Drosophila melanogaster: one gene and its partners. The gene in region 3 interacts genetically with the main gene of each other region. Each region holds a gene or a part of one and is shown on either strand. Other genes may lie near its edges. The genes, in order: zfh1, Pp2B-14D, Mef2 and twi.

The links.
Region 1: of Mef2 (region 3) and zfh1, changing one suppresses a phenotype caused by changing the other (phenotypic suppression), as found in Drosophila melanogaster (one study listed by BioGRID).
Region 2: of Mef2 (region 3) and Pp2B-14D, changing one suppresses a phenotype caused by changing the other (phenotypic suppression), as found in Drosophila melanogaster (one study listed by BioGRID).
Region 4: of Mef2 (region 3) and twi, changing one enhances a phenotype caused by changing the other (phenotypic enhancement), as found in Drosophila melanogaster (one study listed by BioGRID).

The regions. Positions count from the first base shown.
Region 1 is NT_033777.3:30,762,292-30,769,759, reverse strand, and holds the start of zfh1 (Zn finger homeodomain 1), read right to left. Parts: upstream 3,835-7,468; 5' UTR 3,477-3,834; coding exon 3,380-3,476; intron 1-3,379. UniProt on the Drosophila melanogaster protein: Involved in the development of the embryonic central nervous system, embryonic mesoderm and adult musculature.
Region 2 is NC_004354.4:16,552,182-16,562,861, reverse strand, and holds Pp2B-14D (protein phosphatase 2B at 14D), read left to right. Parts: upstream 1-2,845; 5' UTR 2,846-3,454; coding exon 3,455-5,167; 3' UTR 5,168-8,235; downstream 8,236-10,680. Other genes in the region: Arp2 (Actin-related protein 2), read left to right, coding at 9,471-9,518, 10,412-10,522. UniProt on the Drosophila melanogaster protein: Calcium-dependent, calmodulin-stimulated protein phosphatase. This subunit may have a role in the calmodulin activation of calcineurin.
Region 3 is NT_033778.4:9,925,070-9,932,743, reverse strand, and holds the start of Mef2 (myocyte enhancer factor 2), read left to right. Parts: upstream 1-3,128; 5' UTR 3,129-3,844; intron 3,845-5,874; 5' UTR 5,875-6,257; intron 6,258-7,674. UniProt on the Drosophila melanogaster protein: Transcription factor that could be a key player in early mesoderm differentiation and may be required for subsequent cell fate specifications within the somatic and visceral/heart mesodermal layers.
Region 4 is NT_033778.4:22,982,440-22,989,933, forward strand, and holds the start of twi (twist), read left to right. Parts: upstream 1-2,934; 5' UTR 2,935-3,052; exon of another isoform or gene 3,053-3,090; coding exon of another isoform or gene 3,091-3,889; exon of another isoform or gene 3,890-4,110; intron 4,111-7,494. Other genes in the region: CG32834 (uncharacterized protein), read right to left, coding at 166-1,836; CG32833 (uncharacterized protein), read right to left, coding at 2,069-2,875. UniProt on the Drosophila melanogaster protein: Involved in the establishment and dorsoventral patterning of germ layers in the embryo.

The DNA of each region.
Region 1 (7,468 bases), on a different chromosome or scaffold from region 3:
GTGTGATGTCGTGGTGTGGGCGTTCTACGCTCTGAAATTGGAGTTGCAATGCGTTGGCGAGCCGAAAGCAATTAGAGAAATATGCCGCAGAGGTGTTCAAAGCAGGGGAAATCGTGAAGGAAATATGCCCGGCCATCCATGAGATACTTTGGCATCTTGTTCCTCAAAGGGAGCGAAATAGTTACTTTAATTAGTTTGAATAATATTCGAAAAATCTTAATAACGCACAAACTAAATTCGCCATTTTAAAGAGATCTCTGAAATACTTTAACGATTACATTTGTCAGAATAGCAATAGTTATGAGTTATTTAAAAATTGGCATATTAATTTACATATATATAAATACCAAACTGAATACCAAAAACCGAAGCTTCAGCCAGTTGAAACGTACTTCATTAATTCAGCAAGTACAACCAAAGTTGGGCTTAACTTGGCTAATTGATATTCACTTGGTCCTCTCGACTCGTGTATAAATTGTACGCGCTCGAAAAAAAAACAACTCCGAAATAAAGCCCATCGAGTGCAATTGAAACTTTTTCAGTTGGCGCTACCACAATAGAGCTGTTGACTATTTTTGTTTATTTAAAACTTTTAACAATTATTGTGCAATTGTGCGAAATTTATTGCAATTGAACGCCAATCAGAAGGGAAGTGCCCTTCTGAACCCTCTCCACTCGCCAATTTCATGGCTTTCCCTGGGTTTTCCACTCCGGTTTTTCTCAATGCCAGCACCCGTTAACCAAAATCGTTTACATGTTAAATTGTGCCTGCTCACTCCTTTTTTTTTAGAGCCTCCTCTTTGGCGCTGCAATTTTGCCTGCCCTTTGGCAACACCTTTTTTAAGGGGGTGTTGCAAGGGTTGGGTGGCAGGGGGCACCCTTTTGTTTGCGCCGATTTTTTGGCACTTTTTTTTCGGGGGATAGCACGGGTAGCAATTGTTGTCTCGTGGAGAGCGGCGGGCATTAAATAAATAAGAAAAAATATATTCGCAAGGAGGCGGGCTGCATTCCGTGCAATTTTCACTTTACAACTGTTTCAAAGTTATCTTTGTTTCAATTGTGTGCACGACGGCGGCAAAAAGCGAGCAGCAAAAAATATTGGCAAACAATTTACTTTTTGGCCAAAATGCGAAATAAAAGTAAAATGTGGCAAATAATTTGCCCAAAGCTGCGGCAGGTTGAACACGGAATAAAGGGAATCTGCAGCAGGATATCAAAGAGGACTTTCCCCTCATTGATTTATTGTCCTTTTGTGCTGGTTGCAAATGGGGAGCTTCCTTTTTTTTTTTTGCTCTGTAGCCTGGCTCAATTGCAATTTAAAGACACAGTCTGTTTATTTTGGGCAAAGTCGGGCCGAAGTCTCCAACTCCACTTGAGATAGGCATCGGCAAAATTAATCATCTTTGCATGCCAGTTGCCAGATAGTTTGTGGGGCCAAGTTTGTTTAATTTCGATTACCAGCTGACGGGGCAGAGTCCTGTGCCCGGTGAAAGATGCAGGATGAGCCGGCCAGGAGTTATAAATGGCAGCACCGACAGCACCAGCATATAAAACTGACATCCACTGACAGCAGCCAAAATGATTAATTAGACAGGAGGCAATCTTGTTGCTGGTGGAACACACACACTAGGTAGGTATTCCCAATCGAAGATGCAAATGTCAGATAAATGTTTAATTTCTGCTCAGGGCTTCGATGGGCGAAAATGGGAATGGAAATTGGCGCTGATTTATACATAGAGTATATTTAGAGTATATTTAGCTAAGGGGCGTAGTCGAAGGTGATAACAGGCGACAGGTTTTCGCCAGGGCGAAATCTTTGATTTACGGCATTTTGGAGCCGTTTCGAAATGCGACACAACACACGCCGAGCAGCCGGAAAATTAGTACAACTTGACTAGCTGGCTGGCTGACTAGCTGGCTGGCTGGCTGGCGTTTTCCCCCGGCTTTTCCAAAAGCCCAGCGAACAGCATTTCGTATGTAGCCGGCGATTAATATCCATCGCAGTCGCAGCTGCCCAGCGCCATCAAGCAGCTCGGTTTGCCCAGGGAAGAGACGGAAAACAAGCGGAAAGTATATGGATCGAAGATATGTGGGCCAACCTGTGCGCAGCCATCTCTGATCGATTAGCCAAACTATCGTGTTCGAGGGCTTTTAGTTCCGCCCACAGAGAACGGAGCTGCTTAAATAGCCATAAATTATAATTTATGGCAGCGGTGTTGCCACCGTTTCAACCGTTTCCACCGAACATGTGCAATTAATCCGTCTCTTTAGCTGGCTTATCAATTGTCAGAGTCGGAGGAGTGGAGCACCGAACGAATCGTGGGCGTTTCCCCAGCATTGCGCCATCCCCAATGCTCCCCAACTAAGCGTTTTCAATTAATTTCGGCTCTTTCTCACACCTTCCATTTCAACCGATGAGCTCTGCCCACTGACAGTTTTATGCTTTGTTTACACTCGATAAACAGAGTGGCAAGCGACCAGCAATATGGCCATAAAACAGGTTCTTAAATGGAGGTGCGGCATCGCGGTAATGGTGTTGGCCAAGTTAGCTACCTGTCGTCTGCTGTTTCAGCCTGCGCATGCGGTTTTCCTGGTCAGGGGTAGCTCTACCTGGTTCTCGGTGGGTGGAGATTACTGGCAAGGCGGCGGTGCTGTTTCGGCGGTGCCAACAAATCAAATTGAGATGTGGCTGCAATTGGTCGGCCACTGGGAGGAACAGAGAGGTGGCTATGCTATGCAATGCAGGGAATAATGCCATTATTCAAGATCGACTGGCCGACTTTCATGTGTGAAGAGCGTGATATGACCAATAGATATAAGAAATCGAATGATCTGCCATGTTAAACCGTACTAATTTTAACTATATTGTAGTTTTAGCTCATGGAAAAGGACTTTCGTAGCTGAAAACCAGCGAATGATTATAGTTGAACAACAATAAGTTCTTTAAGTTCTCAAAGCGTATAGAAGTTGCACAAAGTGACCCAGTTTTCTCTCAGTGTGCTGATCGGGCAAACTTTTTCGGTTTCGGGCTCGCTCTCTCCTTTTTGAGAACCGGAGCCCGTTCTCTGCGTAGGAGTAGGTAATGGTAATTCGAGACCTGCCTCGATCCTTACTCGCCGTTTATGAGTTTGTTTTTCTATAGCTACTCATTCTTATGATCCCCTGAAGGTGGAGACCACACATATACCCAAGATGGCGGATGGTTTCTGGGAAACTGCTAAGCTTGCATGTGGGGATCTTCAAATCGAAGCTACCGAGTCTTGGCGCGCGAATCACTTGAACACAAAGTTCTATGGCACGGCTGATTGGTGATAATGGAGGCGGTTTGCGGATGAATCACCCGAGATCTGTGCTCCAGATCCGCGTTCTGATCACTTACACTGCATGGCGAAGGGGGAGGTGGAGGGCATGCTCTGCTGAATGATGGTATCCTCTTGGCCGAAACGTGAAGACGACGGCGCCAGACAGGACAACATTTGGAATGCTTGTTGCAACACTTGCTCTACTTTGATGCGGATAGTTTGTTTGGCTAGTTGGCTAGTTGGCTAGTGGGTTCTTCTGGGCTCGGCGTTATTTCTTTCTTATAGAGCACACACGTGTTGTGGCGGCCATTTGGGCAAGGGCCTTGGGTTTTTTATCTTTCGAACATGGGAAACACTGGGATTTTTCTTCGCGATGCGCCGCTGCGAGTGTCGCGTTTGTTTTTATTTTGTGGGCGATTTCACTGATCTGCGTTCTATATCTGCGTGATTCTACTGTGTGCTGCTCAGAGTTTTCTCTGTGGGTGAGCGACGCGTGTGCTGCCGTCGCGACGTCTACGATGCAACTGAATTCAGAGTTCTAAGTTTCGAAGCATCAAGCCAAATCCGAGAACGAAACAGAGACCGACGTCCTCTACCGAATCCGTCGGATGCGAACTGTGAGTTTCGGGCGAGGGCGATACGGCGGGGTTCTACGTTTCCACGGAGAGCGAGTGAGAGAGGGCGGCGCTGTTTGTGTGTGTGCTCCGTGCCACCACCAGCATAATATAACGGTGTAACGGTTCACCGTTCCGATGTACGAGGTGATTCGGGCGGGGGTAGTGTGGTTGGTGCTCTAATGCTCTGATGGGTGGTGTGTTGGTGGTGGTGCCAGAGAAGCGAGAGCGCTTCATTCTTAACATAACAGCTCTCTGTTATCGCATATCGTAAATGTTAAGCGCTGTTAGTGCCGCTCCTCTCGGTTATCCCGTGACGTAAGCACTACGTAAGGGTGGCCTCTTTTGTTCATCGTGCTGCTCGTAAACATATGGCCGTTATGCGGGATTTGACTATATTAACATTTGCACAAAATTTCGTTTTTATTGATAAAGCGACTTATGAGTCTTTCCATTAACTTTTCCGCCAACCGTCAAATTTATTTCGGTGTTATTTTATTAATACTCTGTGCTGCTGGGTATCAATATTAAAGTGTAGAGCTTAAGTGATTTACATATTTAATTGTTATAATTAGGAAATATTTTTAATAAACAGTTTAATACTCAACAATAAATAGGAATTATCTGAAATTCCCAGAATTGAACAGCAATAAGATAGTTTAATTATATACTTGTATTATAATTTTTTAAGTCTTTCCGGTAAATCAAGTTTATGACAAAATATTCCCCGTGTGGGAATTACACACATATGTATGCATATCGCTATGATTAATTCCCCACTCAAGAAAGCTTTCGATCGTTTTTCTTTCGGGTAAATTTGGCGGTGCGAGATAAAGGGGATTTCTTTTTTCCAGGGAATCCCTTAACCCTTTCCTGGCCACATCGCTGCGTTAACGGACAAAATCATTTGCACTTGCGATTGCAAAATTTCCTCTGCTGCGATTTCCGAGTAAGAAATACCGAAATCGTTCCGCGATTGCCACACATTAATGACATCGTTTGCTGATGGGCGAGTTCTTGAGAATGTCCATCAATGGACACGTCTACAAAATGACAGAAGAACAGAGATCCAAGAGATCCCGGACAACCGAAGAATTCTAACGAAGAGAGCAGAATGCGAGTGGCTTGATTCTTTGGCTCCATCAACAAGTTTTGGCGGCCCCTTGGGATGTTGCTTTTTTTGTACTTTATATTTTGCTGCTCAAAGAAACATATAGATTTGAAAACTAAAAGTATAAATGGATAAAAAGATATTTATGGTAACAGAAATTGTGTTATCGAAAAAAAAAGCGAAACATGCTCTCTTTGATAAAAAGCAAAAACAAAAGGCGGACTCGACAACATAATAAACAATTTGTACATTAATTTTTAATGCGGTTAACATGTGTTCCCCCTTCTCCCTCACACACCCATACACTCACAAACGCGGTCGCTACGTGTGTGTAAGTGTAAAATAGGTGGAGCTTCATAATTTTCTCACTTGAAACGTACTGCCATGAGCGGGAAAGAGAGCGCCGGCGGTGCAAGCGAGAGAGAGGGAGAGAGAGATAGCCGCCGGAGAGGCCGCTTTTTTTTTGTTGCCTCGCATTCATTTTGTATGTTAATTAGTTGCCGTTCACTCGCGTGCGCGTGTGTTGAGTATCTGTGTGAGGTGGCGTGGGTGTTTAATGAGAAGCGAGCAAGGTGCGCACATTGGTCGTCCATCGGTTGCACCTGTTGCGCTCGTTCGATTGGCGGAAAAGCCCCAGGGAAAATTGGAGGCTGATGAAGTGGGAAAATGACTCAATAAGATATATGCGAGAATGAATCAGAATAGATATTTATGTCTGGACTTGAAAATAATTCATCTCTTGCAATGAGCTCGTACCTCCCCGAGTTTTGTAGATCTTAATCCGCCTTCATAAGTATATATTTTTAATCAGGATCAGGACGATTGCTGTTTCCCAGCACTTCCTGTTCCTGTTCCCCCAGGAGTTGCCCTCATTAACCACTTAATTGACACACATCCGAATCGAAATGCATCCGAGTTCAATGGCGAGTACCTTCAATTACCACGTCCCGCATTCGCACTCAAGGATTTTCTTCCCAGGCTCTCGAAGGCAACACCCACTGTAGGTTCTTTATTTAAATTGGATTTGTCGATCATTTTCCGATTGCTACTAGCTTGGGCTTCCACGACTTTGGAAATTCTCACCCACCGCTGCTGGTACCCACATAAAATAGAGTTAGCTAAGTACTTTCGATGGTTCCGCATTGACGTCATCGACGGAGGAATCAATTAATTTCACTTTACAATCGTCGGATCGACGAGAAGATGAAGCAAAGGACTCTGGGAAAAGGCAATCCTTTTCGGGGTGTTTGCTGTAAATCTCAGATCTCCAGATGGGTCATCGCATTCCCACACTCCTTGGGATTGAATTGCATGCATGTTTCTCGTTTTTCCACAATTTTTAATTAGCAGTAAACTTTGCGCGGCCCCGAAAAACAAAAGAACCCGAAACCAATTCAATTCGAAACCGAACCGAAAAGTAATGACAGCGTAAATACTTTTCAGAATGTGGTGGTTCTATATGGCATAGAAAGTGGTGTGGTGTGGTGGTGGTGGTGGTGGTGCTGCTGGTGCTGGCCTCGGTGGTGCAGAGTGATGCACATTTTTGGGGTCGCCACAAACATCGGACTCTCGGCATCGGAATCGAAATCTCAAGTGTCCTCTGTTCTGCGGCCGCCTTTGCCTCATTTCGTTTAACACTTTATGTGACATTTAAGTGGCGGCGGGGAAATGTCAAATTTCCTCATCGTCCCCAAAATGCATGTACAGCGGTCTGAGCCCCATTTTCCCCCTTCTATTTTTCAAGGGTTAGAACTTGATTGGGGCGGTGGTTTTAGTCAAGTGTGTGGTTCTCGTGTGGGAAGATTTTCCCCCTCGTGAAAAGTGCTCGTTCCAGGCGCAAAGTGCGATTCCTGGTTTGATTTTCGTGGAAAGCAGCGTAAACTGATTGGTTATTGTCTTGGAAATAATGAAATATTATAAGCAGCGAGGGTTACAGTTGCCACTAATTTAGGCAATTAATAAAATGTCGAAAATCATTAATAGCTAACCTTAAGGTTTATAGTTATTCAAATTTTTAGTGAACTATTTAATAAGACAATTTGATTGACTCACACTAGCGCCCCGCTTGCCTGCTTTCTTTCTCCTCTTATCCTTTCAGTTGATCCTTGAAGTGTGCCAACAGCAACTGTTATCCTTGACAACCCGAACAACATCATCATCAACGTCGTAAACGTTGTCAGAGCGATCATCGTTATCTGTTTTCATAACTGTCAATTGTTGACTTTTGTTTCGAACTGCATTTGAATGTCTGTGCACAGCCTTAAACCCCGTGCCCATTTTCATTCACAAAAAGAAAAGCAGCTGGAAAAGGTCCTTGCGGGAAAGAGAGGGTAGATATATTGGAAATATTTGGGCACGTGTGCGTTGTATGGCACTGATTTTGTGGTTCGGCTTTTGTAGTTCTAAGCAGCCTAACGGTTTACCTGAACTATCGAGGGAAA
Region 2 (10,680 bases), on a different chromosome or scaffold from region 3:
AACAAATTACCGCAACCCGTATACATATGTATAGCATATAACTGAATACTTTTCTCTCCTCCAACGTTCCCACAATAAAAAAAAAAGGAAAAAAGCAAAATTACAAATTAGCGCGCTCTTCTAACATAAAAAAAGCAAATGCAAAAACCAAAGTAAATTTAATTAATATACACATATATGAGAAGAAACCAAAAACCAAAATATATAACATATTACGAGTAAGCAAATAATATATAAAAATACTTTTATACTATATACACGAAGCCTAAGAACTAAACAAAAGCGAAACAAAATTATATTAACGACTACCCCTCTCGCTCTAACCTCTCCATTCTCCTGTTGTCCTGCTCTTCTTTTCTCTCTCTCTCTCTCTCTCTCTCTCTCTATCTCTCTCCGTCTCTCTCGCACTGTGAAACTCCCGACTCGACTTCGACCTTGACCCTTTATCTTTTCTCTCTCTCTATCTCTATGTCTTTCTCTCTGTCGTTTCGGTGACCTCAGAAGAGGACCCAGCAAAAATGCGAAAACCATACCAAAAGCAAAGGAAAATAACACTTTTTATCGGTACATTTTCTACTACACCATATATGAATAGGAAATACAAGAGAAGAAGAGGAAGCGAATATAAAGTTAAAACCAAATTACCAACTACAGCAAACCACAATTTCAATATAAAAACGAATGGGTCCTATTTCGAACTTGACTTTCGGCACCGTTTTTGTAAAATCCCTTGAGTTTTGAAACCATTTCGAAAGCTGCCTCTTAGTATGATATGAAAAACAAAACAATTTTGATTTGAAAAGTCTTTCATAGCACGCGTCTAGGCAGTTTTTTAAGTGGTTTCAAAACCCAGAGAATGATATTTAAAGATAGCCAAGACGTGATAAAAAAATACCCATAAAAACTATACTCAAATTTCAGCCGAAAGTTAAAATTAGAATGGCCGATTACAATCAATTCCACACTCAGTTCGATATCGAATAAATCGCATATTGAACATAAATGTTTTTAGAGTTTTTTTTTTTAAATTTCCGTTAGACTGTTAGTTTATCGATTAGCTTGAACTACTATGTACAATCAAATATTTAAGTCGCTTTAAGTAAGCCATTTTGTTAACCAATTGTTTTTTTTTTTTATAATCGTATATACACTTATTAAATTTAACGAGAATAAAGAGAAAATGGGAAGATTTCTTGTTTTTCGTTTCCACTCATCTCATCCATTGCAATGCGAATGAAAACCTTTTCATCATATGTATGTATGTATGTAATTATATACGTTACCTTAATTTTTTTGATACATGTATTTTTCAACATCTACTTCCTGCCCTCGAATGCTTTAAAAACTTTACACGAAAAAGAAAACAATTTAATATATATTATAAACAAAAAAGAAATGGACAAAGAAAAGCAAAAACAAAAAAAAAACAAGAAAAACCAAGTGAAGAAAAAACCAAAAAACAATTAAAACTTTACCTTTTGGATAAATCAATTTAAATGCATATTTTATATATATTTAAACATTTATTTATATATAACATGTATGATAAATATAAGTTGGAAAAACTTTGTCAAAGCAAAAAGTTTATATACTTATATTAAAGAAAAACAAAAAACAAATGGATGGAAGATGGGAAAGGAAAACCAAAAACCAAATAAATAATATTAAAAATGCAACATAACAAATTAACAAACAAGAAAACATCACATCTAGATAAATCTCTTAAAAATTTTCAATTTTATTATTAAACCGAAACCAAAGTTAATGGATAAACAAATTTATAAACTGTATTGCAAGGGGCAGCTGGCTGGCAAAAATTACATAAAATTTGCGCCGTTGTGACAAAAATTGTACGCAATCCAAGGAAGATAACAAATTAATTTACAAGATAAAGATGATGATAATGGAGATGTAGACGATGGAGAATAAATGAAGGCAACAACAAAATGCAGACAACAAGTTTTAACCTTAAGTGAATGCAAAACAAAATGAAGAAACCCAATGAAAACAAAATGATTATCAATGTTATTAACATAATTAATATTAACAAAAACGAAAAAAAAAGAACAAGCAAAAAAAAAAAACAAAAACAACCAAAAAAGAAATACAAAAACATTAAAAAAAATATACAAGTACCTATCCTGAGAATAAAATGCGCGCACATTTATTATTTCCTCTAAAAGTTCGTTTGAGTCGATTTCGCCACCGGGGAATTTCAGAATAAGCATATACATATTTAATCCCGGGAAGCATATCCACCAGTAGAAGGCTGGAGAAGTGGTGGACTGAGTGAGTAATGTCCAGAATTTGCTCGAAAATTAAGGAAGAGGTAAGTGTAAGTGGGGCGAAACCGACAGGTGGCCAAGAATTTCAATAATGAGGTTTTTACCTATATTGATAAATTCAGCATCTGGGCTCTCATATTCTCTAATTTTAATTCATTTTATAATGTTTAGTTAACTACGTTTAAAGAATAATTAAGATGAACGGCTTAATTGATAGCTTAAGCTTTTTTAAAATAAAATGTTTTCCAGTTGACATTTTGAATATGTACCAAGTCCAATTGGATATAATTATCAAAGTTTAGCACCTTGTGGTACATTGCTGTGCGGAATTTGTTCAGATTTTAATTTTGCGCCACCATCTACATCTTTAAAGTGAATATATTGTTAGAAAGGAGATAAAAGTAAGCGTATTCATTTAGAATATTAAATATACAGAGAAAGATATAATTTTGCACGTACCTTACTCGACTACTTCCATGACTTCCATTCCAGGTGCGAGTCTCGACTAGAGTACACATTCCAGCGGCCGTGTAGTAAGTTTGAGCTTTTGAGCCACGGCCACACTGCAGAAAATTCCATTAAAAAAAGCGAGAAAAAAAACGTAGCGAAAGAGAGAAATTACGACGTCTGCAGGGCCGAAGCGAAAAAAGTAGCAAATACTGAAACAGAGTGACTATGATTGTTGTTAAGTGAAAGCAGCACTTTTGGAAAACGGCTAGGCCAGCGGCGCAGGCCACGGAAGAAAGCAGCGGAGTCAGCGTTCCAAAATCAAAGCAAAGCCAGCGGAAAGTAAAGGAAAGCGAATCAAAGCTGGAAGGCGATAAAGCGGCTCACCAGGCACTCCAACAACAACAGCAACAATAGCAACAACAGTAGGAGCAGCAGCAACAACCACACAGCAGCAGCAGCAGCAGCCAGGGAAAGTACCAGAGTGTGAGTGAGTGAGTGAGCGAGTGTGCGTGTGCGTGTGTGTGGGTAGTGGAAACAGAACTGAGCCGTGAGAGAGCGAGAGCGGGAGAGCGAGAGCGGGAGAGCGAGCTAGTGGAAGTGGGAGCGGGAGAGGAGCAGTCCGATTCCGAATCCCGGAATAGAAACCAGGAAAAAGGAAACGGGAAGCAGTAGCCGTAGAAGCAGAGCCAAAAACCGAAACAGAAACAGAAGTCTCAACCATGTCTTCGAATAACCAGAGCAGCAGCGTTGCCCAGGCGGCAACAAGTGCCCGCACCGTCAGTGCCGGATCGGCGGAAGCCACAGATGCCAATAGTACCGCCTCGAACAACAACAATAATAGCAGCAGTACCGCTGCAGCGGGCAACAACAGCGACAACAGCAGTCCCACCACTGGAACGGGCACAGGAGCGAGCACTGGAAAGCTGCACGGCGGCCACACGGCAGTAAACACCAAGGAACGGGTGGTGGACAGCGTTCCCTTCCCGCCCAGCCACAAGCTGACCTTGGCGGAGGTGTTCGACCAACGCACCGGCAAGCCCAACCATGAGCTGCTCAAGCAGCACTTCATTCTTGAGGGCAGAATCGAGGAGGCGCCCGCCCTGAAAATCATCCAGGACGGAGCCGCCCTGCTGCGTCAGGAGAAGACGATGATCGATATTGAGGCGCCGGTGACGGTGTGCGGTGATATCCACGGCCAGTTCTACGACCTGATGAAGCTGTTCGAAGTGGGCGGCTCGCCCGCGAGCACCAAGTATCTGTTCCTGGGCGACTACGTCGATCGGGGCTACTTCAGCATCGAGTGCGTCCTGTATTTGTGGTCGCTAAAGATCACCTATCCGCAGACGCTGTTCCTGCTGCGCGGCAACCACGAGTGCCGGCACTTAACCGAGTACTTCACCTTCAAGCAGGAGTGCAAGATCAAGTACTCGGAGCGCGTGTACGACGCCTGCATGGACGCATTCGACTGCCTGCCGCTGGCGGCGCTAATGAACCAGCAGTTCCTCTGCGTGCACGGCGGTCTGTCGCCGGAGATACACGAGCTGGAGGACATCCGGCGGCTCGACCGCTTCAAGGAGCCGCCCGCCTTTGGCCCCATGTGCGACCTGCTGTGGTCCGATCCCCTGGAGGACTTTGGCAACGAGAAGAACTCGGACTTCTACACGCACAACTCCGTGCGCGGATGCTCGTACTTCTACAGCTACGCCGCCTGCTGCGACTTCCTGCAGAACAACAACCTGCTGTCGATCATCCGGGCGCACGAGGCGCAGGACGCCGGCTACCGCATGTACCGCAAAAGCCAGACCACCGGCTTCCCCTCGCTGATCACCATCTTCTCGGCGCCCAACTATCTCGACGTGTACAACAACAAGGCGGCGGTGCTGAAGTACGAGAACAACGTGATGAACATCCGGCAATTCAACTGCTCGCCGCACCCGTACTGGCTGCCCAACTTCATGGACGTGTTCACCTGGTCGCTACCCTTCGTGGGCGAGAAGGTCACCGAGATGTTGGTGAACGTGCTGAACATCTGCTCCGACGACGAGCTCATGACCGAGGAGAGCGAGGAGCCGCTCTCCGACGACGAGGCGGCGCTGCGCAAGGAGGTGATACGCAACAAGATCCGTGCCATTGGCAAGATGGCGCGCGTCTTCTCCGTGCTGCGCGAGGAGTCCGAGTCGGTGCTGCAGCTGAAGGGCCTGACGCCCACGGGCGCCCTGCCCCTCGGCGCCCTCTCCGGCGGCAAGCAGTCGCTCAAGAACGCCATGCAGGGCTTCTCGCCCAACCACAAGATTACCTCGTTCGCGGAGGCCAAGGGCCTGGATGCCGTCAACGAACGGATGCCGCCGCGGCGGGATCAGCCGCCCACGCCCAGCGAGGATCCGAATCAGCACAGTCAGCAGGGCGGCAAAAATGGGGCTGGACATGGGTAAGCTGTGCCATCTAGTGCGGCTGCAGGACGAGGATGCAGATGCAGATGCGGCACGGTGGAGTCTGGCGAGGTCTGAATTGGTCTGAAGGAGGGGCTGAGTGGAGCGGAGCGGAGGCAACACAAAGAACACCAACCGAACGGAACCTTAATTAAACTTAATGTGGCAGAGCAACAACTTAAATACTAAAACCAATTCTAATTCTAAGTAATTGTCATAACCCCCTGCATTTCGTATGTGATCCCGCACCAGCTCCATGCCCATGTCTATGTCCATGGCCCAGAGCCTCCAAACCGACGGCACGGAGCAGAGATTTGTTTTTACGCAGGCGCGCGCACATTGGATATTAAAATTATGTGTGGCATACTTTGGCGCGCCGGCCCCCAAAACGGAAAATTCCCTTTCGCGATAGAAGAAAACCAACCCATAACGTAACCCATAACCTAGCTTAAGTTGTAATGTATAAACTATAAACTGAAATGGGCAAATTTTAAAATGGAAAATGAACAAAACGGAAAGAGCTAATTGAAATCCCTCCCCCTGCGATAATGCGATAATTTAAGATGAAAAACCCCAGCAGAATCCCCATAATCCCCAGAGGCAAGAAACACTAATCCAATTGAAGAGATATGGGAAACAAAATCCAGCGCTAATCTGTTCCAAACATTTAGCAGCGGCAAAAAAGAAGCGTACATATATGTATACATATGATTATTTAGAAATATCGAGGCGCAGTGCCGAGATGCAACCGAAAGTGTAATGAAATTTGAAATGAGCAAAGGTCATTTTTTGTAATAATCGTAATCCTTGAACTCTAGAAATGTAATCTTGCATAGAAGAAACGAATGAAACAAGCAAACAAATTCGAAACCATTTGCAATATGTGCCGCAATAGTCCATAAATGTTCCTTATACGAATTAAACATTGAAAGTGAAATCAGAGTTTATTTTTTTTTTTTTAAATATATACTTAAATATATGTATATGTATTATTGTTGCATAATCTAACTTTTGACTTAATATGTTACATTTTACGTGTACGACTGTGTGTGTATAACTAACTATTTGCGTTTTATCAGTAGCTTGGCGAACAAAAAACAAAAAACAAAAAAAAACCAACCAAATGGCAAAAGCAAAAGCAAAGAAAAAGCAGCAAAAATCCATAAGAGATCACACAAGATGATAATCGTTGTTTGAGGATCACAGTCTAGCTAATTAATAAATTGATGAATAGGATCGATCGATTTCCATTGATGTGAATGCATTTTGAACACTGAAAGAACGGATCGTTTACCATTTAAATAGCAAATCAAATATTTAACTATTAAATTACTGTGTAAACCTAATAACGTATAATATATTTCTGCGTGTAAATTGAACTAAACGATTAATTAATTAACTAATTTAGCGAATCGATTTTTGTTGAGAGAGAAAGAGCGCTAGCACACACACACACACAAACACAAAACTTATTTTCCTTGACTTAGTATGAGCTAATTGCAATGAGATTAAGCGAATGAGATGTATTTAAGTAAGTATAAGGCATGGCACACACATGAGAAACGGATGAGTTTCGGCGTTTCAGATCAATTCAATGATAATGATGGCAATCAAGTTCTCAATTTGCGCCTACACCTCTTCCCAAAAACCGATGATATCAGCTTCTCCTTTATCACTAATCACAACCACTATCAATGCGAAATCAAAAGCTATAAGATATACCACATACATACTCACGCAAGAAATGCCTTCATCGAGATCATATTATCCACGAACCAAGAATATTAACGCTGTACTTTTGCTTCGACTCTTCAACCACCAATAATTGCATTGAACTCTAATCTAAATATTTATACAGATATATATATATATTATATACCGAGTTGGCATTGGAAAACAGTTAGTTTTAGTGATCTATGCACGTATCGTAACAATACCAAGATTAATTAAATCGTAGCTAAAAGAAACAAATCAAGGATGAGGCGGCAGTCGCAGAGTTTCCCTCTTAGCTTTTATAAAAAAAAAAAAGATGGAGAAATGGAAACAACTTACTCAACTAATTGAGAGATACACCATATTTATATAGATATATATATAGCGTTTTTTTTTTTTGTTAATCCTCCACCACAACTATATAATTATTGAAAGTTGATGAAAGCTGTTGGGCCGTTTAAGTTTCAGAGTTTCTGTTCTATATGTGGTTAAAATTGTTAATGTTGTTACACCGCAAATGCATACTTAGTTAGTTAGTCGAGTGAAATGGGAGTTCCCCCAAATCACATTTAATTGCAATAGTCTCGAGTATTGAACGCCAAGAACACCAATTCCATAGAATGATTGTATACACTCAGAAAATCAATCGGCATTTATGTTCGAAAATCGCCGCAAATATTTTCAACAAGTATGGGTTTTTACGGATTTAAAATAATGAAATTGAAAACTAAATTCCATATTGTTAGGCTATAAACAAATGTTTCTATTGATGGACAACATTTCAGGTATAATTTTTGAAAAACAACAAATATTTATTTCAATTGTTAATACCAAAATACGCATAGGTCAACAATTAAGTTTTAATTTTTTTTTTTTAATATAGTTTAATTATCAAAGAACTATACATTTTAAGCCATTAAACGTAGGCAATATTCAGATAATTTTCTGAAATAAATTAATTGTAAATTTTGGATTCTCTTAGGGCGATTTGCATTCCGAGTGTATCAAGAGCCATGGTAAATAATAAAGCTAAGAAGTATTAATAATTCTACACTATGTATGACTAACAATACATTTGCTTAGTTCCCTCGATAAAGAAAGTACATAACTATTGCATGAGGCATAGGCAAAACTTCCTGGCACATAGTAAAAGTAAATAATTGAATAGAACGGCTGAGGAGGAGATGAGTAGATTTTGATAATATGTACGTCAAGACCATGCCAACATACTTATGGGAACTATTTAAAAAGCATTAAAACGTTCAATATAACACATAATACCCAGACAAAAGCAGAATCAAAAAATGCGGGAACGAGACGGCTGCATGGTATATACATACATATATAAGACATTTCGCCTCTTAAAGCAATTATAAAGATAACAAATGAGTAACGTTTATTATATTATTAAATTATACATACATATACATACTATATAAACGGAATAAAATAAATCAGCAACAAACTTTCCATTTTATGGCGTTCGATCACTTAACTTTTTATCCTTGGGAGCAGTATTGTCAAGTTATCATTTTTCTTCTTAATTGCTTAAATTACAATTCTTTAAATACATGCATGTATTCAATGATGGCGCCAAATTTTGAACCTGTTTTAAGTCTTAATTCAAGAATATTTTTCCAAGTATGAGAGTGAACGAGAGGCAAGAGCGCAAACGAAAAATACCAGAAATCAATGTGAGTATTTTGAAATTTCAGCAATTGCCGAATTGGTTTTTCAAATAGATGTGATTAGTTGTTAAATTGCCAAATCTTTAATCCAATAATTTAATTAATAAAGTCTTAATTGAATTGAAATTGTTTTGTGTAAATCCTGTGCAAGTAACATATATTACTAATAAACTTGTATTTTTTAATCTTTTTTAAATTGTTAAAAGTGGCACACAGACTAGTAAACTTAATTAACAAATTTGTAAAATAATAAAAAAATATAATTGGATCTAGTATCTAAACGGTTCTGGTATTTATTTTCGGTGTTTTGTACGCTTCAGTCCAACGCCGATAGTATCGAATATGCATCTATTTTTATTCAACTCTGGGGAGTAACGAGGGAGTTTTTGTACAGCAGTATAACTAAATTATAAGTATAAATAGTCGATAGCGGCAAACTGTTTCGGCCTAAATTTAATTGCGAGTCTAAATTAAGAGTTCAATTCCCAATAACCGCCAAACGAAGCGGCGATAAACGTAAGCGATAGAGTGGCGAAGAGAGCAAGGTTCCCGCCCGCGTGTTGTGAGAGTGTGCGAGTGGAAGAGGAAAGTGTATGATTAAGTACAATCGCTCTCCGGCGGTCCAAATACAAAAAAAGCCGAAAAGGAATCAATTAACAGTAGTGCTCAACAAACGGCCCAGGAAGTCAACAGGAAAGGCGATTGATGTGCAATATTTTGTTTGGTTTTATCGAGCAGAGGCGCTGCGAGCTGTGATTTCAAACCGAATCACAACCAACACCCAAAAAGGCAACCTGGTCGCGTCATCAGTGGAAGTGGAAAGGCAGTTGCCACAGCAGAGGCAGAAGCAACGGGAGTAGCAGAAGCAGTGGTTTTCCAGAGATCCGGTTTTGAGTCCTTCAAGCATGGACAGCAAGGGTCGAAATGTTATCGTCTGTGATAACGGCACTGGGGTAAGATAACGGGAAAGTCACCACCCGCACCGCCCACATCACCCACAAGCGGTGAAAACAGAGCGCACACACCCACACCATCACCAACGACTGGTGTGTGACACACATTTCGAGTGTTGTTGGCTGCGCTTCTTTCGTTTTCTTCTTCTTGTGGACTAAGCAGCGCTTCTGCTGCTGCTGCTTATTTCACTGCTTGCTGGCCAGCGGGCGTTGACGTCGCGGTTAGTCAAGCAGTTGCAGCAGTTGCAATTACGCGATTGCCTCTTCCTCTCCTTTATATTCCGCTTCCCCACTCTTCTTCTTGCTCTCCGCTTGACTAATCAGTGGATTACTCACGATTCCAGCGTTACTCAGTATCTCCCACACCTACATATTTGTCGAAAGAGCGACACTGGCACACACCAACACTTCCATAAAATTTCCGACAATCAGTTCTTATCGCAGGCCCAGAATTTTTGTATTGTGATAACGGTCCGATTTCGATAAGCGTCCGATAAACCACAACAGTAAAAGCGCAAGCAAATGCTGCACCGAGAAAAATGATTTAGCTGGTCCTAAACCAAATAATCAAAACTAATTCAAAAATTTTTGTTTTGTGATAACGGTCCGAATTCGATAAGTCACAGCAGTAAAAACGCAAGGAAATGCTGCACCGGGAAAAATGATATAGCTGGTCTTAAACAAAATGATTAAAAATAATTATTTATTATTATTATGTGCAATTTTTAAGTACCTGTTGATACAAAAGCATTTTAAATTATCATATTACGTGTTAGGGCTTAACTCAAATAATAATATATGTACATATGTCGGCTGTCATATTATTTTAATGTGTTTCCACATACACCATAATATAAATATATGTATTTATGACATCTCCATTTATTTTTCAGTTCGTTAAGTGCGGATATGCCGGCAGCAATTTCCCCACCCACATTTTTCCCTCGATGGTGGGACGACCCATGATTCGGGCGGTCAACAAAATCGGCGATATCGAAGTCAAGGTATGATCCATCGTACTTACCAATTAAAGTATCTAAAATTAATTAACAATATGATGAGATAGTACAACCATATACACTACACAAATTCAATTGTGCACAGGCCATCAAATACACGAATATCCATATATTATATCATTTTTTTTTTCGATGTAACTACT
Region 3 (7,674 bases):
GTATCTCGTATCCGAATCCGAATCCCTCGATCCTTCGCCCCGCAATGACACACGTGTTAAGGTGGAATTATTTGGGCTGACATCCAGAATCTGTAGCTAAAAGAGGCATCGCCTCTGCGTGGGCGTTTAGCATTGGGGAAAATTGATTAGATTAGGCAAAATTCGACGTTGTCGAAAAGGAGGAGCGGTAAGAGGAACAGTAGCGTACTTAAGCTGGCATTTAATCACATTTAAATTGCACTCAATGCCCGGGGAAATTGATTGAGATTTTTATGAATTAGGGAGCAAGTCGGAGACCTAAGCCCGTTTAAGTCGAGCAATTGAAATGTAATTAGGCAATGCTAATGGCGACACCTACCCCTCTCTTTTGGCAGAAAGTCGACCAGCTCCCCGGAGACTTTTCCGAGTCGAAATCACTTGAGCTGAACTGAACTTCAATTGCTTTTTTTTTCGGGGCCCAGCATTTGCATAATTGATACCACCGCAGACATTTTTCAATTTCGAAATCTCGACGAGCAATTAAAAAGATGTTTTTCCTGTAATTCCGTATGCTTACAACCCTCCGGATACACTTGGAGCTGTTCTACTGCTGGGTATCTGCAAGATGGGCATGGCACGAAGGGCAATTTGAATGAGATTTATGAAATTACCTACGCAGCGTTTACAAAAACATCATCGGCGGAGGGCAGTGGCGTGGAGATGAGTTTCACGTGGTTTGGCTTGTCTTGGCTTGGGGTACTCAAAGATCCCCCTGAAGAAACCCCTGCCAAGCAGTTAAAGTCGGACTCAACGCACATTGAGGCCGATGCTGCTGCTGCTGCTACTGCCGCAGATGCCGCATGTTGCACATGTGTTGAGTGCATGCAACATGCAGCATCAACCGTACGGCGCACAGCATCGGGGTACATGGTCATGCGCAAATCGCCGGGCGGCGTTTATTGAATTAAGACTGTCGACGACTGTTTGCAGTTGGCAGTTGTCGCACCCAGTGGAAGCGTTAAAAGTCACAAGGACACTGCAAACGGGAATCAGAATGGAAATGGAAATGGAAATGGGAATGGTAATGGGAGTGGAAGTGAGAAAGGGATCTTCGGATATACACACATGGATCGTTTGCTGCTGGGTTCGGTTCTCAAAATGCAACATTGTGGCGCCGCCGAGAGGCGAGGGCCATAAAACGGGTAACTTGGTCGCGCTGCACTTGGTATCGGTTATGCGTGATTTTTACAGAATCCATTCACTCGACGGGGCGGAGCAATATCTGCGGCATCTGGCATTCGCATATTACTCGGAAAGTCACGTTAAAGTTGCGTCCACTTAACTGCAACTGCAATATGGGCATTCCTTAAGATTTCACCTCCCTTAATGTCCTTTTGTCTGTGTTTTAACTATCACTCCAGTTATTAAATCGCAACTTACAGTAAACAAGAAAATCTTTTAATATATTTTCTTATTGATTTAAATGCCATATGGTAATGGCTAATCACTAAAATTCTCGCTATTGGAAATATTTTTATTATGTATAAATAGACGCAAAATCATTTCCTATATGGGTTAGAACTATAGATGGCTGGAAAGTAGCCACAGCTTTTATTTGCCTCCCAGATGTGGACTAATCACATACAACGTTCCCAATTTTCCTGCTTTTATAAAAGTCGATTTTTGTAATAAACTCTATTGGGATCAAGTTGGGGTACATGTATCCCTACTTTATTATCTTTTCGCCTACATAACCTGCATAATAGAGCGTGTTTAAGGTAAATAATATCTCGCTTAACGCAACAATAGACAGGGTCTGGGTCACAGGGCTTTGGATCCCACTTGGCTGGCTGGCGGTCCGATTCACAAATTAAGCCCCAACTTCAGCCATACAACTACTTTACCTCTGTCTGAATAGGCAATCATCAATCGAGCAGAAACAATGAATCGTTGGTTGCCGCACACCCTAGGATCCTACGGGTCCTACTCTTTGTCCCTTCCGATTCCTTCCTGTTTGTTTTGTGTACCCGCCAGCAGACGAATTACAGGATATGTTGTATGTTGTATCGCACAAAATTAGGTAACAAATGAAAAAAGGATTTACGCTTTATTTTTTCTGAATCAAGTTCAACATTCTAGTTTACGTTCACATCGGAGCTAAGAAGCTAAACAGCTGTCACAATTCCAAAGTTAATATAACCTATTAAAAATGAAATTAATTTTAATGATAGTTATATCATACTTCGCGTTTCTAAAAGGCGTAACCACAGCCAGTAAGTATGCCCCATCTTTTGTAACAGGGTATCGAGTATATACTTACCTTTTTTTCTACTGCCAAACGCAGGTCAACAAAGTTTTTATTAAGCTGCGTCGAAGGGGAAAACTAATGGTGGGTGGGTGTTTATAGAGAGGATCCAGTGGCAAGGACAAATAAATAAAATACACACAAAAAAAAAACCAGATAGTGGGCAAAGCGGGAGGGGAGAGGTCCTGGCAGGGCAGGGAGATACGGATACAAAGGAAAACGGAAACCAAAGCGATGTTTAGCAGGGGTGTAGTTAATGGGGGTGGTGAAGTGGGGGATAATTAACATTTATGGGAGGTTGCCAGAGCGGGACAACAAGCTCGGCGAGGGAACTAACTGTAACTGTTGCTGATTGATCAAGTGTGTGGGTGAGTGTGCGTGTGTGTGTGTCTGGCTGGGGCACAAACAAAAACCATATGTTTCTCGTTCGACTCCCGCACGCACTCACTCACAAACCGAATTACTCACTCACCCCCACCAGCCCCACACTCTAACCCCCCGCCACCTCTCGCTCACTCTTGCTTTCGTTGTGAGTAGGAACTCAAAGTCAGCGGCTGCGCACTCTCTCCGTCTCTCCCGCTCTCCGATTGCCCGGCAATGTATGTGTGCGATATTCTGTTACACAAAAAGGCAAAAACAAAAGGCACCGTTAGAAGGTGTGCGCGTGTGAGTGAGTTCACCACGAAACGAAAATCCTCACCGCCAGCCTACGTATACGTGTTCGTTGCTGGCTGTGCGTGTGTGTGTTAGTGTGCGACTGCGAGAGAGCCTGGCGCAGTGCAGCTGTGTGCGGGCGTATCTGTGTGTGCGTACTTGGCGTTACGACGTCAACGACGGCATATCCGTCAGTACGTTTGTACGCGTCCGCAGCGCCGCTTCTTCAGTTTTTCGGTTTTCGGGATTTCGAGATTTTGAGATTTCGATTCGATTCGATTTCGGCAGATCAGTTTGCGATCCGTTTGCGAGTTCGATATTTTCATTCCGAGCCAACGATCCAACGATCCGATTCCGCTAGCGATTCACAACAGATAGAGATCCTATATCGAACGCCGCGAGAAATTATGCTGGCCCGCTGCTCTCGCACTACGCGCAATAATTTATTTTTACTCCATATAAACAAATTCAACGTCTATTTCCAAAAATAAATGGCAACAATAATAAAAATAACAACAGCCGTCGGACAATTATAAGTTTTTATTTTTAACTTTTATTTGCGCCAACCGCGGCCGCGACATCCCCGCCCCCGCCTGCCCGGACTTTGTTTATATTTACAAAAAGCTAAAGCACACGACAAACACAACAGCAAACATATCACTGACTGCATTTCGCCCCGATGTTTATCGAACGAGCGGCGTAAACAAAGCCAGAATTCAAACAATAATTCAATTTGCATCTCAATTGCAAAGATTTTCGTGTGTGTGCTCGGAAACATTTGTGCAAACACCTCGCCAGCGACCTGACATCCCCAGAAAAGTTCAAAACTCGTCGGTTTCTATTGAGTAGTGTATTTTTGAGAACATTTTTTCGAGAAAACGGAAGCTCAGCTAAAAAGCGATTCATGTAAGTTTATCTACTGCAATGAGGAATGTTTTTGGTTTGAAAACTAGTTTTTAAAACCAAAGTACCTTTGCGAAATGGGTAGAAAGATTTTCATTCTTGTATTAAGAATAATTTTTCCTGTTTGTGATAACCATTTGACTTATATTTATGAGCGTCATAAAATCCAATTGAATGCCTCATTACATTATAAGTGATTTTCGGTTAGTCATACTTTTGAGACACATTGTTAAATTAATTATAAATTATGAATTATAAAACCTAATTTTGGTTATCATATCCACCTTTGCTCATTGAGCTATTATTCCGCCCAAAGGCTTAGTAATTATTTACAGATCATCGATGGGCTGTAAACCCCTCCTTTCATATGCCGATAGGGCAATTTGATTATATATAATTTACAATTACAAAAACACTGGCAGCCGGCATGTCGGGAACCAAATAAGCAAGTTACCCATGCACACTGACGTCATCGCTGAGCCAAACGTTGGGATTCCGAAGAAAAAAAAAAGAGATATCGGCCGGGTTTTCGAATTGTGCCTCGCTGTCTTGATTCCAGTTCAAACAGTTCCCTTTCAATTGATATCATTCGATGTTTCAATTTCTTTTCTTGCGATTTAATGCTGAGAGTAGCTGCCATACACTCGGACGGGCGAACACGCACACACAAATACTATATACGTTCCACTGATAAGCGATTTTCGTATCAATATTGAGGGCCCGCGAGAACCGTACTCCTCCGGCGAAGTTCAAATCCATTTCCCTGCTATCAAGTTCTTTTGCATGTAGTTTTTATGGCCGACCGACCGACCAACCGACTAACTGACTGATTGACTGGCTGGCTGGCTGGCTGGCTGATTGGCGAATTTGCTGATAATTGTCTGCACTTTGTTTCAGCCAGCAGCAAATGCACAGAGAATTATATTTTCTCTTATCTCGCCTCAGGCAGCTGGACATGCGTGCAATGCACTTTGACACCTACGCAGGATCATAAGGGGGGTCGCGTGGGAAGGGAGTAGGGGAATTTCGTTTCGATCCAGGGAGCAGTGGGTTCAAATAACAAACAAAGCCATTCGAAGGCGATAATCACCGCAGATTTGCCGTGGACTTAGCCACGGCGATCGCCGATAAACGATTACGGTCATTCGGCATTGCAGAGCCTAGATAACGGGACCCCACCTCCGATCACGTTCACGTTCGGACCATCATCACGACCATCATTAACCTCCGAGATCTTTAACACTATTTGGTGTAGTCACGTTTGGGTCGCGTTTGTATTTTAAGTGTTCCATCAATAGAGAAATTATAATATTATTTATTTATTTTCTTTTTTGTATTTTAAGTGTTCCATCAATAGAGAAATTATAATATTATTTATTTATTTTCTTTATTATTTCATTATTATTTATCTCATTCTATAACAATTTAGTTATTTCCAATACCTAAAGCTTCATAAGTTAAGCGAAAAAATAAATGTTTTAACTGTTTTTTTTTTTTGGATGCCTTTCAATTAGTTTTGAAATTCAAAAATGACACACGATTCTGAAAAACTGCAAGTAAAATAAAGAATACAATCCATGAAGGAAAACCCACAAACGACATCTTATCAGGTCAAAATAATTTGTTGGCAAATTTTCAACGAAAAATAGTTGAGTTACGTTTGTTGTTGGCGTTTTCGGTGCTTGATAAAAAATTCGAAATCAAAATTTGTTTTATTTGCTCGTGTTTTTTTTTTTTTGCGGCCACTATCTGCCATCGAGAGCGAGAGTCTTTCTTATCACACGTGCGCATGTGAAGGTGCCCACGCTCACTGACAAGCCAAATGAAGCACAATCTGGTCGATGTGTTGGTGTAGTTATTAAAAAAATAAATGTTCCTTTGCCATTTGCCGTGTTTGCGGCTCTCGAGTGTCTGTGATAATTATGGTTATTGCCGCCGCGCTCCCCCACATATATTGTATATAAAAATAAAAATAATAATAATTATTATTATTATAACGATTTCTTTCTGTTTGCGCCTGTGTTTTGGTTTAGCTCCCTCCCCCACACTCCGCCCGCTTTTGCGGCTGTGTAGGTGCTGGCGATAAGATAGAAGTGCTCTAGGTGTACTTCTAGGTGACTCGGGGCCCGAGAACTCAAATTTGTTCGACTACCTTAACATGAGACGCGTGTTTCGGGGCGAAAAACAAAAACCTTGGATTCTTTTGCTTTTGCTGGCATTTCTGCAATCGAAATTGTTGATAAACGCGGTGCAGGAAGAGAGCCAGATATCGCGGAGCCAATGCGATTGCTTGCAAAAATATTGGAAATCGAAGTTTGCCGATATTTCACTTGCTTCAAACAGGCACATTTTATCTCAAAAGCATTTATCATTTGCCTTTAGCATTTACCACGAGCGTCGTATTCACAAAGTGTGTGTAAGTTGTGGATAATATTTTATAATATATAAATAATATACTAAAAATAGATGTAAATGTTAATAAGATATGAGGTAGTTTGAATTGAAATGTAGATTTTATGACAAGTTCATTTTAGTTTCTCAACTCGTCAGTTTTTAAAATCTATTCTTCAAACGCAATCCTATCCTCATCTCTTCGTCCCCAATTGGTATTGATGGCTATCCCCAGCATCTTTGCTCGTAATTTACAGTTCTAAACTCAACTTCCGACCGCCCCCGAAGACTACAAAAAAAAGTTCCGCCTCATTGGCAGTACGCAATGAGTCGTTTTCATCGCGTCTTAAAACGCGCGCGCGTGTCTTTAATTAAGTCAAGATTTATAACCGGGGTCCCAGGAATGCGTTAACTGCGGCACATTAACAACAATAACAAAAGTCGGGGACATTGACGGATCTGATCTGGTTGATGAAAAGTGAAAGTGAGCTGCGACCAAGGAAGTCAAGACAGGCCGAAAAGAGCAGAGCTAGTGAATTAAGAAAAATTAACAAATATATATCTAGAACACTCACTGGTCAGGCCAACGTGCGTATAAACCCACGGAATGGTTATTATTTGAAATTGAGGTGATAAATTCGGAGTTTTTTAAACTTGAAATTTGGCCGGTCAGCAGCCATAAAAACGGAATTTATGAAAGGTCTCTCGTTCGCGATCTCTGTCGCTCTAATTGAGGCTGAAAGCTCCAGACGGTGAGAGATTGCATTCAGATCGGCTCATCTCATTGCGATCGCAACTGGTTTTTGAATCGGTACGGGGTTCATTCCTCCAAAATACGGAAAAGTTTAACATTTGCATAAATTTGGCCGCAACAAATGCTAATTGAGCGCAATCAAGGCGAGCAACAAGTTTTCGCCTTTTAATGCCTGCTCATCGGAGAAAAAGCCGCAGAGCGTGATTCACTAAATCAAATCGATAATGTCCCCGCCTTTGTTGGTCCAAACAATTAGGGAAAGCGCAAAAGTTGCTAAGCAGAAGGCTTCCCACCCAGTCCGGTCCAACAGAGAAATTGAGAGAAACTGCAAATCAGAGGAGCTGGGCAAAACACCCACGTTCTTGAGATTTGTTCTTGGCCATTTGCCTAATGATGCCGTCGCAGTCTTTGGGCCAATTAAATGGTGAAGCTGGCAAACGTGTGGCGGCAGTTTGCTTCGTTTTAATTGCCCGGCCACAAGACAAATGTCTTGACACACATCCACCAATGGAACAGACTCGGCACATCCTTCCTACCTTCCTGCCTTCCTTTCTTCCTTCATTCCATTCGTCCTGCTGGCATCCTGCTCAAGTGCCGCCTTTGCCGTTGACCCAGTGAAATGCAGCAACCGCAAATGGTAGATTGTTGCAATGAAAACCGTGTTAAGTTCTTTTGTCCCCGGGCCACG
Region 4 (7,494 bases), about 13 Mb from region 3:
ACACTGGCTTAGACACTCGGAGTCCAGTCCAAGGATTGTGGTTTCGGTGACAGAAAGAACCGAAAACGCACGAGGGCAAAACAAGCTAAGCTCGACATGAAAGCTGATGTCACAGTTTCTTTTATTAAGGAGTGTTAATTATATTATTATAATAGACCTTCTTTATTATCCCTCGGTATCAGGACTTTCAGTAGATATTGGTTCAGTTGCCGTCATGATCGTAGTTATTATGCTAGGCGAAGGACTCAACGTAGTAAAGGGAGTACTAGGTATTGCACTGGCTAAAGTACTTGGGGCATTACCAGGTACTGTACTAGATGCCGCACTACTGGGTTCAGTACTCGCTATAGTACTCGTCACAGTACTGGGTTCAGTAGTAGGTACAGTACTGGCTTCAGTACTCGCTATAGTACTCGTCACAGTATTGGGTACAGTGCTGGGTTCAGTACTCGCTATAGTACTCGTCACAGTACTGGGTACAGTAGTAGGTACAGTACTGGCTTCAGTACTCGGTTCAGTACTCTTTATAGTGCTCGTCACAGTACTAGGTACAGTACTTGGTATGGTAACCTGTTCAGTACTAGGTAAAGAACTCGGCTCAGCACTTTGCACAGTACTAGGCACCGTACTGGCTACAGTACTTGGTACAGTAATTTCTTCAATCCTAGGTAAGGTACTAGATACAGTACTAGATAAGGTAGTAGATACAGTACTGGCTAAGGTACTAGGTAAGGTACTAGATACTGTACTAGGTAAAGTACTAGATGTAGTACTAGATAAGGTACTAGGTAAGGTACTAGAGACTGCACTAGGTAAGGTACTAGAGACTGTACTAGGTAAGGTACTAGAGACTGCACTAGGTAAGGTACTAGAGACTGTACTAGGTAAGGTACTAGATATGGTACTGGGTACGGTACTGGTGGAAGGTTCAGTACTAGGTACTGCAACAGGTTCTGTGCTAGGTTCAGAACTAGGTACAGTGCTCGGTACAGTAGCAGTTGTAGTGCTAGCCACAGTGGTACTACTATCACTAGAAGTACTTGTCGAAGCGGTTGTATCCTCATCTTCGGTGTTCTCGGCAATCCAACCTGTGAACCAAGGTACATTGGCGTAGACATCTGGTTTGGTGGTGCAGCCGCCTTCGGATAGAATGCCCACGAGTTGTCCATCTATCACCAAGGGAGCTCCCGTATCGTAGGAGCATCCTCCGGCGCCATTATGAGTGCAGAGGGTAAGGTACGAGATGCCATTGTCCCAGAGTCCGAACCAAACACCGCGATCCGCGGCGCACTGCTCCCGATTGTAGACGCTGACCCATGCCATCTGCAGATAGTCCGGCAGACTGCCGAAGCACCTGTCCCACCAGCTGCCCCACCAACTGGTGGATCCCCAGCCGGAGACAGTGCACCACGAACCATCGTCCGGTTCATCCTCTGCTATGCTGATGGGCTGAATAGCTTCGGAGGTCTTGAGCGGATCGCACAACTTCAACAGTGCCAGATTGTTATCGAAACGCCAGCAATTGTACTGCGGGTGATTAATTATTTCACAGACTTCGAGCAGGAATCCAGTTCCATCATAATCGCGGGAACTGGTGCCCACGCGTACTTCAATTGAACCGTAGGACTGGACACACGAAGCTGCTGTGATGATGGTGTCTGATGTGATGATCGCCCCACTGCATATTGCTGTGCCATCTATTATTACTTCCGCCTGGTACGGGGCATCTTCAATATCCACATCATAACCTCCAATGATGCGGCTTTGGGCATCCAGATCACCACGAACCGGCCGTAAAAGAGCAGCCAACAGAAATAAGAACACACTCCAAATCATTATAAACAACTGATTTTTAGAGCTGCATGTGCGACTCTTTTTATAGGAAAAGTTAAGTCGTTTTCAAGGCTAGAGCTCCTTATCTGCAAAGTCATACCTCAAATTGAGTGATGGCTTTACTTCGAAGCTCTATCAAAATAGGAAGTATTGCGTATTACTTGCACTAATCTGCACATAGTCATAGCTCGAAGGCAAAGTATTTTTTAACAATTAATTGGGAGAACGCTTAAGTTTACTTTGTATGATTATGCAGCCAGTCCTTGTACTTTATAAGATTGATATAGACTTCTGGATACTCCGAACAGCCGCCTTTCGTTATAATGCCGACCAGTTTGCCATTGTGGACCACAGGTGATCCCATCGCTAAAGAGCAGGCTTCCTTAGCGAACTTCTCGGTGCAGAACAAGTCATCTGTAAAATTCTTTTTGGACCAATTGTTTCGCGCCCACAGATCTGTGCACTGGCTAGGGCCAAGTAGCTTCACCTCGGCCTTCTGCAGCTTGTAGGCTTCATCATCCAGACACTTCTTCCAATACATTGCCCACCACCTGAAGGAGGGCCACCCGTTGGCCGTGACCTTTGCCCCATTAGACGGAAGCTGGTTGGCCAACTGAATTGGCTGGATCGTTTTGGAGGCCTCGAGCGGTTCGCACAACTTTAATATGGCCACATTGTGAAATACTGTCTGGCCGGTGAACTTTTCGTGAACTGTAATGTTGCAGACTGCTACTTCGATGACTCCATCGCTGCGCGTAGTGCTACCCACTCGTACACGGATCACCTTGTTCAGGAATCCATCCACACATTTCCCGGCTGTCACAATGTGACTCAGTTTGTATATCGCTCCGTCGCACTTGGCCTTTTGTTTGATCGAAATGGAAGCAATCCATGGCGCTGTGGTTATGTTCACGGGATGACCACCAAGAGTCGTCCGGTTGCAGTCGTTTTCGTCGTCCTCTTCCGAATCTTCACCTGCACCCGTGTCACTTTTGGAAAGGACAAAGAGTGCAAGGAAAATTGGTAGAGATCGCAGAAGCATGATGCCAAATAAATGTGCATATAGCAGGCTGTTTAAATTTTATAGTATTGGCACAAAGCATAGCAAATTAATTTGTTTTACTTTACGGTGTGTTAAAATTTTTCTCACTTTAAGCCATTGTGCAATGTTCTTTATTCTGTGCTTTACAAATTCAAATATAGATCTACAGAAGGCAAGGTAATATTATCATTAAACTATTCACAGCAAGTAAGATATTAATCCTTCGTATTCGAGTCCAGCCAGTTCGTGTGCCCCAGGATATTTGCATAGACATCGGGCTTAATGGAGCAGCCCGCTCTGGAGAGGATGCCCACGAGCTTGTTGTCGATGACCAGAGGCGAACCCCTGTCTGTGGAGCAGGCTCCCTTGCCCGGCGACTTGGTGCAGATGGTCAGGTCTGAGATTCCCTTGAGTAAGTAAAATGGTATGACTTTCCAGTCGGCGGCGCACTGTTTTTGGCTAAGGATCCGCACTTGAGTGCCGTGCAATTGGACAGGCAGCTGGAAGCACTTCTCTTCTATTCCGCTGCTAATCCTCTAAGTCTAAGATAAGGTCAAGGAAATTGCCTGATCTGCCACCACAGCCAGTCACATTGGCTCGAGAATTATCATCCGGCACTTTGTCGGCCCTCTCAATTGGCTTTATTTCATCGGTGGTGTTGAGTAGCTCGCAGGTTTTCAAGAGAGCCAAGTTATTGTCAAAGCGCCAGCTGGAGTACTGGCTATGAACTTTGACCTTACAGATTCCAGCAATTGATCCACTAGTGCCGCAGCTGCTGGTTCCCAACCTGACTTGTATGCTCCTGGCGCTGTAGCCATCCACACACTTGGCGGCAGTCAGGATGTAGTTCTTCGAGATAATGGCACCACCGCACTTGAGCTTCGAATTGACTATGATGGAGGCATACCACGGTGCATCCTTAATGTTGACAGTGTTTCCGTTTATGATCCGCTGATCTCCGAGAGCCAACCAAGGCAGAGCCACAATCTGCAGGAGGATTAGTGGGGCTAACATTCTCTTTAACTGACTTTCGTGAAGGGCGTGCTCCTCTTTTTATGGGATTCTTTGTTAATTAAACGGAATAGCTTTGGAATACTCTTCTTATCTACCTTTCGAAGAATCTATTTTGTAATGTAAGAAGAATATGTATTACAATGTATTACAATCCATATTGGCATTTGAAACATTTTGAATGATAAATACGCCCTGTGCGCAATCGATTGAATATAAAACCGAACTATTATACGTTCAATTGCCAATTGGGGTAATCCACATATATGCCCAAATTATAAAGTATAATTTAAGCAGCCGCATCGATTCTTTTCGCTTAGAGCGGCTTTGTACCCGTCCTCCGATTTGAGACAAAACTCACCAGCCATTACACTAAGCCGCTTAAATATTTGAATAATTCCTGCAGAGTAAAAAAAACGTGGGTGACTGAAATATAGCTGGACATTTCCATCAAGCGATATTTGCATGTATTTATGCAATTTTACATGAATGCAGATTTAAATCTGGGCAATGTTTAGCAAAATGTCGAAATAAATACTTTCATGGAGGAAAGTGGCAGGAGAGAGCTGGCGAGGGGCAAGGGGCATGGGGCATGGGGCAAGTAAACAAACATTTTGATGATTCGCCATGTCAAGTGGGTCGGTTTCGCAGCCAGGCAGGCGGATTAAAATGGATTACAACTGAATTATTTGATAATGTCCCAGCAGATGCAACACATCGCATTGCTTTCGCCCCGAATCGCATTTAATTTTTATCAATGTGAAAATCATTTTTGGTTGCTGGGTTTTTTATTACCATTTTATTGGGTTTTTTCGGCGGGCTGAATCGTGTTTTCAATTTGCCCCTGGATCTACGTTTTCTTTTGTCAAATATTGTTTGGGTGTGCTTTTTTTAGCTCTATTTAATTGATTTTATTTACGCAAAATCAGGAAAGCTTGCTCGCTTTATACGAGGCTTTAATTAATTTAGTTAATGGGATATATTCGCGTACTATTCATGATCTTTTGTTAAACTGTTATGCTTGAAAAAAAAGGATTAATTATGTTAAAAGCAAGTGCCTTTCTCACCATTTTATAATATTCAACAGATTTGCTAAGCAAGGCCACTTTTCAAATGACCTCAATTGGTTTTTTTTGCTGGCCTAATGAATATTTCAGTTTTGGCAACATCGCTAACGCCATAGACGTCCATCGATGGCCATTTCCAGCTCGATCCAGCTGCTCCTCCATCTCAATCAGCCTTTGGCTCATACATAACCCAGTAAATCCTTTTCCAGCTCGATGGCATCGTTGCCAATTTTCACACCAGCGACAATTACTCAAACCGTTGGCAACAACAAAAACATGGGTTACCACTGTCCTCGTCCTCGCTCCCTTTTCCCTGACCCGCTTTTCCCGGACTTTTCCCGCCCGCCCCCGCAGTCACAGCTCGCCACTCGGAATCGAGGGAGCCGGCAAAACAATCGTTGACAAAAATATTTGCATGCACTCTGGGTGCACTTGTCCGAATCGCCGTGCTGGGGATGCAGCTGCTCCTCAGCGCTGCTGTGCCGCGTGTGTTGCCATCGGCGGCGGCGCATTAAATATGCAACACCTATGACAGCAAGCCGCTTGACATTTGGATCCGAAGGCACGGGACTGGAGACCCATTCCAGTTTTAAGCTGGAACTAAAGTTTTGCCGACAATTTGCAGCTAAATTTGTCAAAAAACCAGAAACTTGGCCGGCTGAGAAATTATGACTTCCGCAATTGTTGGGTGGAACAAAGGGAATCCAGCGCAGTGCCAAAGTGTGACCGACCCGAAACAGTTCAAAAGGCAACTGTTGCTCTTGAACCTTTGGAAAATCCACCGCTTCAAATGCCGTTACACCCCCCGCCCCCCACACACGGCAAAGTTTTCAAATAGAAAATGTTTAATTTCCCCAAAGACAACGTCGATGCTGCTGCTGCTTTCCCGAAAACGCAGCGTTTTCCCACCCAGGCCAAGGAAACTTTCTTACATATTTTACAATAGATCTTCGTGTGTGTGAGTAAGAGTGTGTATGGGTGTGTGTGTGTGGGTGGGTGCAACAGTGCAGCCGAAAAAGTTTCTCCTTTCCCGGGCGGAAAGTTAGCTAAGACAAACGCCCCGAAAATACCCACATCGCTCAGTTGCCAGCGCCCATCGCTGAGCTTCCGGGTCGAACTTGTTAGTTTGCCATATAGCGTCGAAAATTATATTATTTTAAACTTTTCAAATGTCACCAGAGAGTCAGAAATTTCACCGAAAGTCGGTGACAAACTCCTGTTGTTGCGACTCTCCTTCATTGTGTTCGTTAATTAAACATGTTGTCCCCACGACGCGCACAATAAATCGAACTCAGTGCGGGCAAAAAAAAAAGGGAAAATTGAAAATTAACTGCATTATCTGATCGAACGGGGTAATTAAATGTGGCAATCATTTCGGGTCGATCAAACGCCTAGTAATGCCATCGATGGCATTACAAGTTCCAAAAAACATGCAGTTATACATTTTATAAATGTCAGCCATGTCCGCTCCCCAAAGCCATTTGATTTAATAAATATCTTTAAAACTCTATTGTTTGCCAAAAAATCATTTTATAGACATTGTTCAATTTGAATTTGATTTTTGTCATGATATATATACCGCTCTATTGCACTATTGTTTACTGGCAACTTTATTTTATTTCATATAGTTTTGTGTAGTATTCGATTTGTTCTGCTTTCTTCTGGAGTTCCACATTTTCTGACTTCTTTTGAAGTCGTTATCAATTTGTGTACTGCACCAGTCATACTTGCAATCTCGGATTCAATTCAGAGTTGTTCTTATTCCCATTTCTCCCATGGAGCGCATTACAATCTAAAACTGTCGCAAAATGTTACAATGCGATCAAAGCAAAACTTCAGCAGTGCTGGCAAACATAAAAAAAAAAGGAACGAAAAGCTCCACAATAGAAGCTGCCTCGCAGTTATGGTGCACAATCAAAGTGGCAACATCGTCGGCGGCAACTGCAACACAAATTGCTCGGCGGCAGGGCCTTTTCTGTTTGCAGAGTTTGGTTGACACCCCGCCACTTGCCACGCGACAACTAGCTGGAAGGCAGCCAGCCATCAGGCATCCAACCATCCAGCCATCTAGCCATCCAGGCGGCCAACAAGTGTTTAGCGTTTTGTTTTCAGTGCAATTAAAAAGCGCCTACACGCCTGACACGCCCCCTCAAGTGTTGGCAGTCGCTGCTGTTGACAAACAAACAGCAAAAGGCCACAAAAGACACAAAGGGGGCTGTGTTCCAACACTTGAGTTCTGTTTTTTAGCAGTCGGCCACAGTCGCGTCTCTTTTGCTCGCCAGCGGCGCCTGGGGATATGCATCACAAATGGCTGGCGTCAAGCACTGCGTATACGTGATATGTGGCATAAGGGGCGTATACGTAATGCGAGGGGAGAGCAGCTGAAAGGCTGGGAGGCTGCTGAACCTAGCTGGCCTAGGTCTGAATTAGCATAATATGCCAAAATGGCAGTTTTTTAAGAATTCGCCATAAGTGTTGGGTTTCTCAACCAAAAAGTGCCAGCCTTTGTGGCTGCGCAGTGCAATGGATGGATGGTTTGAT